Macaca fascicularis: one gene and its partner. The protein of the gene in region 1 purifies or fractionates together with the protein of each later gene. This does not show direct contact. Links are inferred from orthologs where the notes say so. Each region holds a gene or a part of one and is shown in the gene's direction. Other genes may lie near its edges.

The links.
Region 2: the proteins of NPM3 (region 1) and RMP64 purify together in Homo sapiens (affinity purification with mass spectrometry; 4 studies listed by BioGRID and IntAct, with this or other methods). This does not show direct contact. The link is inferred for Macaca fascicularis from reciprocal best matches to the Homo sapiens genes NPM3 and RMP64.

The regions. Positions count from the first base shown.
Region 1 is NC_088383.1:110,764,388-110,768,600, reverse strand, and holds NPM3 (nucleoplasmin-3), read left to right. Parts: upstream 1-1,503; 5' UTR 1,504-1,512; coding exon 1,513-1,630; intron 1,631-1,976; coding exon 1,977-2,062; intron 2,063-2,303; coding exon 2,304-2,423; intron 2,424-2,543; coding exon 2,544-2,637; intron 2,638-3,041; coding exon 3,042-3,160; 3' UTR 3,161-3,169; intron 3,170-3,263; 3' UTR 3,264-3,575; downstream 3,576-4,213. UniProt on the Homo sapiens protein: Plays a role in the regulation of diverse cellular processes such as ribosome biogenesis, chromatin remodeling or protein chaperoning. Modulates the histone chaperone function and the RNA-binding activity of nucleolar phosphoprotein B23/NPM.
Region 2 is NC_088376.1:170,123,766-170,128,222, forward strand, and holds the start of RMP64 (nucleolus and neural progenitor protein), read left to right. Parts: upstream 1-1,481; 5' UTR 1,482-1,507; coding exon 1,508-1,610; intron 1,611-3,120; exon of another isoform or gene 3,121-3,572; coding exon 3,573-3,727; exon of another isoform or gene 3,728-4,457. UniProt on the Homo sapiens protein: May play a role in cortex development as part of the Notch signaling pathway. Downstream of Notch may repress the expression of proneural genes and inhibit neuronal differentiation thereby maintaining neural progenitors.

The DNA.
Region 1 (4,213 bases):
AGAGAAGGTTTTAAGGTTAGAAACCTTTTAACTGATAGAAGGATATGGTATGTTGTAAAGCTGGAACCAAGTTTGCATTTTTGAGGGCTTGAGATGAAGGGAAGACCCCTACTAGATAGTAAGACAGCTGAATTTTCCTCAGTTTTCTCGTATTTAACAGTAGTGGACAATTCTAGCATTTTGTCTGGAGGATTTCAGAGTTAACCTCATGGAATCAGGATGTTTTAGTAAGTTTACTTTTGGTTTTATCTTGGCTTTTAGTAATCATGTTGGCTGGTCTGGTCACAGGTAACTGTGAAACAGATGTCCTGGTCTTTGCTTTCATCACTCTAGGATCATGAAGTGCTATGCTATTTCCTGGTTATGAATATTAAGGTTGGAATGACATTTTTATTGATTGTTTAGATCAGAGCTCAGTTCCTGTAGAAAACGAACTGTAAAAGACCATGCAAGAGGCAAAATAAAACTTGAAGTGAATGCTTGTCGTGTTGTATTGTGTGAATCTATTTCCTGTCTGCGCCCTACCTTCTCTCTTTCATGCCTCACCTACAAGCAGTATGCCTCCTCTCCACAGCTGTTCCAAGTTAGAGATTGGATCTTGAAGGCAGCCCTCCTACCTCCCATCACTTCCAGATTTTCCTTAGGGCAAGAGCTAAGAAAAGTAGACTGGTTCTTAGCCAAGCCACCCCACCCTCTTGCCACAGTTACAACCTGGGTGTGAAATAGGGCCTCTTGTTTGAGTTTTTGCTATCTATTGGGAAAAAGCACACAGTTGGCCTGATTCTTAAAAGGCGAAAGATGGCGCGAGTAGCGTAAACTGACAATCCAGGGCGCAAAGATAACTTCTGGCTGATTTGGAATTAAAAGCTCAAAACGCGTGGGTCGGCCAGGAACAGAACACACATGAACTAACTAGTTCTCTGCTAGCAGCTAAGGCTCAGTGAAGGCATAACAAGTTGCGGGGTCATTGGAGCAGGAAGAGTATCTAGGAGAGGCTTAGCCGAGAGGACACACGTGTTAGGATGGAAATTACTGAACTGAAAGTCTTTAGGCTCCTCGGCTCTCTTGAGGCAAAGACAATCTGAGTGCATTTCCTTTGCTTGTGGCGGAAAAGCACTGCCCTGAACCCCACCTTTGCTGGGAGGAGGAGTAAGAAGAGTTAACTTTTGTATCTATACCTCCTTTAACGAAAGCTTACCCTGGGTTGGAAGAGTGGGAGACACTCCTCCGACACAGAGCGAGGAGCTTGGGGAAGTGGACACCCTCGTAGTCGTGGAAATGAGCAAGGATGTTAACATAAATCCCAAATCCGTTCTTCTGTGGTGTTTACTTCCTTTCTCTTCGGTCTTGATACAATACGAGCAGAAGCTGCGGGCTCCGGGTAGGGCTGCGGGGTCTCGGTGCCTTTTCTCTCGGGACTGAGCGTCTCCTTTAATGGGCGGGGCCGGAACTGGCCGAGGGTCCCCGGCTTTGTGCGTGTCGGGGGCGGAGTTTGGAGAAGGCCCTTGCAGCATGGCCGCCGGCACAGCAGCTGCCTTGGCGTTTTTGAGTCAGGAGAGCCGAACGCGGGCCGGGGGTGTCGGGGGCCTGCGGGTCCCAGCCCCAGTCACTATGGACAGTTTTTTCTTCGGTATTGGGGAAGGGAGAGGCTGAGGGTGGTACTGGGGCGGTAAGAGGTAGGGATGAGAGGCGGAATGCGGAGGGTTTCACGGCGTGGGTGTGGGCGGAGGGCTGCTTTGCTGTTCCTGGAGGAGAGGGGGCCTCGCACGCACAGCCGAAGGGGGCGGCGAGATCCCTGCCCCAGATGTGTTGGGCGGGGCCCACGGCCGAGCGCCCCAGGTGTTCTGAGAGAAGAGAAGGAGGTGGACGTGTAAATGGCTCGTCCGCCCAAGGTTACACGTGACCGCGGGTTGGTGACATCCCCCACCCCCAGCCCCGTACACACGCTCAGGCATACTCACTGTTATTTCTCCCAGGCTGTGAGCTCTCCGGCCACACCCGCTCCTTCACCTTTAAGGTAGAGGAAGAGGATGATGCGGAGCACGTGCTGGCACTAACCATGGTGAGGGGCGGGGGAGTGGGGTTTCAATAAATAAGCCCAGGCAAGCAATATATGTCTCTACCCAACCCCCGGACCCCCTTTACTTGGAGACACCTCCTCAGCCTAACCCCCCGACATGGGCGGCTCCCCTGGCCAGGTGAACCGGGACCTCTGAAGCTGGGCAGGTGCTAGGGTAGATGCCTTTACTTGTGGTGTCAGCCCTCGCTTGAGGAGACCCTGAGACCCTGTGTACCCTTCCCAGCTCTGCCTCACCGAGGGAGCCAAAGACGAGTGTAATGTGGTAGAAGTTGTGGCCCGGAACCATGACCATCAGGAGATCGCAGTCCCTGTGGCCAACCTCAAGCTGTCCTGCCAACCCATGGTGAGTTCCCCAGCTCTACCCTCGTGGTGGTGGTGGTGAGGGGGTTGAGGACGTCAGTACTCATTACAGTGTGGGGTGGGCTAGGAGTGGGCCAGGCCTTCATCCTTGTCTTCCTCCCAGCTCAGTCTGGACGACTTCCAGCTCCAACCACCTGTAACCTTCCGCCTGAAGTCGGGCTCTGGCCCTGTGCGGATCACTGGGCGGCACCAGATTGGTGAGAGGAGGAAAGGGCCCTCTCCTTTGCTTCCAGTAGACTCTCCCATCAGGCTTCCCCCACTCCGCACTCCTGCCCCATCCCACCTTCATCTCCCAGTGCAGTCCTGTACAGGTCTGCGTGCCCTTCACGCTGTGCCCTGTGCATGACATGCCCTCTCCTTTCCGTCTACTCAAGCCTACCTCCTCCATGGAACATGGCCCAGCTTCTCCAGCTCCAGTGATGAAGACTCCTTTGGCTCTTTGTGACCCAGTTCAGGGTCTGAGGTTCTTCCCACTTAGCCCATAAGCACTGGGAGGTCAGGGTCCCTGCAAGCCTAGAACCACAGGGCATGAAGAAATGGATGCGGTGTGAAAGTGTCTGGTCTTAACATCCCATCCTTCTACTGCTTGTGTGTCCACCAGTTACGATGAGCAATGATGTTTCTGAGGAGGAGAGCGAGGAAGAAGAAGAAGACAGTGACGAGGAAGAAGCTGAGCTGTGCCCCATCCTTCCTGCCAAAAAGCAGGGGGGCAGGCCCTAGCCCTCCTTGGTGAGTTGCGGGGAGAAGTGCCCAGCATGCTCTGGGAAGGGGCGGGAGAAGCAGTTGAGGGCCTAGGTGCTGATTCCTTGTTTCCTCTTTTCAGGTCAGCTCCATGCGCCATGCACCGCCATGAACCCTGTTCCCCGAGAAGTTTCAAGAATTGTAAATGTTTCTTCTTCCTTGAAGAGGAGAGCTTGGGTGGGGTTTGGGTGGGAGGGACTTGGGTCTTTGGTGCTAGGAGAGGGCCTGTGCTCCACACAGCCCTGGTTTTCTGATCTTGCACCATTCTTGGGGCCTCTCTTCCCACCTGTCTGTGAGGATTAGAAGTTAGTGCCGGAAACTCAGAACTACAGATTTTTAATAGTTTTTACATTTTTGGATAAAGGTTGAAATAAAGTGGTGTGGGATTTTTGCAGCTCCTGTGTGGCTTCTTCCTGTGCTAGGTGATGTTTCCCTAGGGACCGCCAGGTGGCACTGTGGCAGCACCCAGGGTGGTCCTGGGCCTGGGGGAGGGTGGAGAACTCTGGGATCTTCTACCCTCACGACCCTGGGCTAGGACCAGGGGCCTGGGCCCCAGTTGCCTTGCTGGAAGAGGACCTCCCAACACTCAGCCGGTTTTCAGTCTCTGCAGGTGGGGGAGGGCCATCGCAGGAGGTTATCAGCATCCAAACAAGGGGTCTGGGCCTCTGTCAGCACTCAGGCTGATGGGCAGGGGGCAGATAAGCGGGCTTGGGCAGCCTGAGGAATGTGCGTCCCTAGCCCCATGAGGGGCTCCGGCCCAGAGAGGGCCTGTGAGGGCAGGGTGGGACCAGGCTTCGCTCCTCCTTTGAGCCTGGCAGGCCCTCTCTTGAGCAGGGCTGGGACCTTACAGAAACCTGACTCCGGGGGCCAGATGGAGGGGACTAGCCAGATTGGGTGACAGGGAAACCAGAATCCGGGTGGCCTGGCATATGGGGGCAGAAAAGGGCCCCTGGGAATTGGCCTCCTGGACTAAGGGGTTCTTGTCCCCCACACCCCGTGGGGTCTGGGGGTCTCTGGTGCCTGGAATCAGGT
Region 2 (4,457 bases), on another chromosome or scaffold:
GGTGTTTTTAAGAGGGAGGCAGGCAGGAGGGTGAGAGAGAGGAAGAGGAGGAGACTGAAAAATGTCATGCTGACAATGAAGATGGAGGATAGTGAAATAAGCCAAGGAATGAAGGCAACCTCTAGAAGCTGGAAAAGGAAAGGAAATGAATTCTTCCCTAGAGATTCTGGAAAGAACCAGCCCTGTCAACTTCAGTCCAGTGAAATTAATTTTGGACTTCTGACCTCCAGAAATGAAAAATAACTTCTACTTATTTCAAGTCATTAAGTTTGTGGTAATTTGTTAAAGCATCAGTAGAAAACGAATACATAAGCCAACATAGAGCACTGTGGTAATACATTAAAGGGGCCTCTATATCAAATTATGGAGTGAGAATGGGGTGTTTAGGAAGAATTGCCCAAAGTGAAGACCCCAAAGCTGAGGAAGGGAGATTGTTTCCGAGGATGACCCAGGTAGAGTAAGGAGATGTGTAAATGCGCACAGAAAGAGCATGGAAAGTGTTTCAATAAAGTAAGACTGTTTGCATGAAATAGTAGTAATAACATCAACAATATTAACTATGGTACATGGTTATTGTTTGTATGCCAGAAGTGCCTTGGCATTTTACAAGTCTGTGAGATTGATACTATTATTATCATCTTCATTTTACCCACAGGGATACTAAGGTCTGGAGGAGGAGGTAAGTAAATTTCCTGAGATCACCGAGCTAGTAAACAGCAAAGCTAGAACTAGAACCTTGGCAGTCTGTTTCTAAAACACTGTTTTTCTAATACGTTACTGTGGGAGTCTTAAGAACTTAAGGGGGCATTAGCAAGGCTGAGGATAAATGAATTATTAGAAAGATATTAATGAGGTAAGGATCACTAGAGCTTGGAATATGATCTTGTCTTGGAGACTGACAAAAGTGGGAATGACAGACAGGTGTCTTCCAAGTTTCTTTGATGTGATCTCGGTTTTGCTGTGGGTCAAGACATAAAGGAGCCTTCCTTTACCACTCAAAGCAAATCACTTGTTCTTGGCTAAAAATTCCACACCTTGCATAAACCTCTTTATTTCATTTCTTCCTTTTTCCCCTAATGTCTGAGGCAGAGTTGGGGGTAAAAGCACCAACTCACCTCTGGGCCTCATTTTCCATATGTGTAAAATGCCTGGAAGTATTTAATAGTTCCAAACTTGGTTGTGCTTCCGAATCCCCTGCGTGAAGTTTAAACAAAATGCAGATTCCTCACCCCATTCTCAGAGATTCTGTTGGTTAGTATTGGGATGGCGCTTTTTTTCTCCCATGATTCTACGCGGCCACGTATTGGTAACGAATGTACAGATTACGGGGTCCTTCCCAGTCCCACGCGTTTACTCCGTGAAGGCCGCCTCCCGCCCGGCTCCTGGCCCCGCCCGAGCCCCGCCCCCTGCTCCCTTCAGACCTGGACTAGGTCCCATCGCCCCACCTCCGGTCGCTAGACGTGCTCTCGCGTAGCTCCGCCTTTCCTAGATCTACCCGCCTCGCAAGATGGCTGCGTTACTGCCGGGCCCGGAACCTTGGAACCGTGTGAGAATTCCTAAGGCGGGGAGCCGCACCGCAATGACAGTGCAGAACCCCGGCGCGACCCTTGGTGAGTGAGGCGCCGGGCGAGGATGGGGGAACGTTTCCGGAGGAGGCAGCCAGGCCGGGCCGGCGCACGTGGCGGGGGCGGTACCGGGACTTCCCGGGCCCGGGGGACGCTGGGAGAGGGCGCGGGGCACGTAGGGGTCGAGCGGTGCCAGCACTTTACTGGTGTAGCTCGTAGGGCCTCTGGCTTAGCAGTCGTTCATTGAACCAACTGTGCTAATGCAGGGCTTGGCTGGAGAGATGAAGGACTAAGGCTCAGCCGTGCGCTGAGGAGGCGGAGAGAGGTGGACTCAGCTGGTGCCTGGGAACAGTGCTGCCTGGGAACCCTTGTTCACCCGGGTCTTGGGAGTCTTGTTTACCCTTCCGTCCGTTTCCCCTTTCCGTCTTTTTCCTGCCCCCTGCTCCCGAGAAGCGGTTGACGTCACCCAAGCACTGGGACTCAAACTGCGATCTTTTCGGACCGCTATCTGCTTATCTGTGAAATGGAGCTAGTCCTCCTCCTACTCACGGGGGCGTCGGGAATATCTAACGATGTAATGTAGGAGACAGTGCTCTGTAAACGACAGTGTTTTACCACCTAAATGGATGGTATTTGTTAGGGTGAAGGGCATATAGTAGGTAGGAGCCTGGCGCAGGAGCCAGGTTGTTTGGGTTTGAATACTAGCTCTACCCTTTGCTGGAGCTTGAGGGAGTTACTGAACCTTTCTGTGCCTCACTGATCTCACTTTCAAATGGAGATAAAAGTAGTACCTTCCTCATAGGACTGTTTTAGGGGGATGAAGGAGTTGATAATGTAGAGAAAGCATTTGGAACACTGCCTGGCATGGTAAATGAACATTCAAATGGTAGCTGTTACTAATGTTAAATACGTAGCTCGGGGGCCCAAGTGGGAGAATACAGTCAGTCATGGGTTCTTTGTTTCAGGTTGGGCTGGTGAAGCCCTTTCCTCATCCGTGTTTTCACTAGAGACAAACTAAAAACCATGACTTTAAGCTGCAAAAAGCCTAAAACAAAACAGAACAACACAATAAGGCGGATTGGACAAAACTTGATTTAGATCATCACATCCCCTTTCCCATATATCCATCCTACACACTTCACAGATTATCCCATCTGTCCGTCCTACACACTTGACAGATTAATCTTCCCTCTTTCTCTATTCAGAAATTCTTTAACAATTCCTATTAGGCATGGGAAATTCACCAACTCACTACCCATCCCCGAGGCAGCCCATTCTGTCTTCAGATAGTTGTTGGGACAGTAAGAAAATTCTTGTTAGGTAGCAACCAGCCTTTACTTCCACCTGGAATGCTAGTGCTGCCTTTAGAGCCATAAATCACATGAACTACATCTTACGGACTACTACAGATTTTCAGACTAGGAAGCATCTGCTGATGAGCACCGGTTGTTCAGTCAGGCGTTCATCAAATAATACGATTTCCAGTTACTGTGGTGGTTTTTCTTTTCTGAATATGTTTGTGTCTCTCTTAAAGTGATATCCAAACACAGAAGCCTTGATTTTGAAGACTATGAATTTATTCATTCTGTCTTGCTTTTGGGAATAGCAACATGGGGAGTTAGAGAATTATTACACTTGTAGTGACATGTGCCCCACCTCCAAGGTGGGGGCGTAAGTGTACACATGAGGCGTAAGTGTACACCAAATGACTGACAGCAAAGTATTCATATGAAAGATTATTAAACCATGATAAAATGCAATGTAAAGATACAACTTCTTGTTTAACGGATGTTCTCTTAATGATTTCCTGGACTTTATATCATCTGTTACCATTTTTCAACTTCTCTTATACTTGGAATCCTTATGTTCTTACAGTTGAGACAGATTACATTTGTTTTTGATTCCTTTAAAACAATTAAGGGAAGATGCTTTTTTTCAGTGTGTTTTTAATATAACATACTTAATGTAGAAATATGTACTAAATCTTATTAAATATTTCTGCTTCAGACCTTTGCATTGCAGCTGTAATTAAAGAATGCCATCTCGTCACACTGTCACTGAAGAGCCAAACCTTAGATGCAGAAACAGATGTGTTATGTGCCGTCCTTTACAGCAATCACAACAGAATGGGCCGCCACAAACCCCATTTGGCCCTCAAACAGGTGAGGAAGCCCGGTAGATGAGACCCAGCCTGTTCACTTGAAAATGTAGAGCACACTGCCACTTACTATTTTGCTATTTATGGAAATCTTGTGGAAATCTCAGTAAATCACTTGTGTTTTATAGGCCTATAGCCCACAGTTACATGTACGCTTTCTTTTTTTTCCTGAAAGCATTTCAGCATTTCAGAAAGTAATTTTTGTTAGAAAAGAAGTATATTTAGATTAATTCTTTCCCAGTCTTATTTCTAATGGGCAAATAAACATTTTCTTCATTATATACAATCTATAACAACAGTGCCTTTGCCCAGTGCAAAGAGAAAGTGAGTTGAGCAAGACAAAATGTTGGACATTAAGAAACAGTTCCCTGGGCATAATCAAAATGCTGAAATACAAAAACAACAACAACAACAACAAAAAAACTTGTCTACTTATTATGGGGTACATAATCTAATTGGTGGTATGTTAGAGTAAATGGATACATAGCAAGTTGTGATGTAAACTGGTTTCATGTAATGTCTGGAGCTTAAGACAAAATTGGACCCTCCAGCTCAGGGGCTACACCATAGAGTAGAGCCTCTTTTAAGCTGGCTTCCTGATATGCTTATTCATTCATTCACTTAATTCCGCAAGTATTTTCTAGAAGTTCAGAAGGCTATCCATTGTGTGACAGGGCTACCTTGCAACTTTTGAACTTTCTGTGTGCCAGGCACTCTGCTTAGTGCTGTGTATA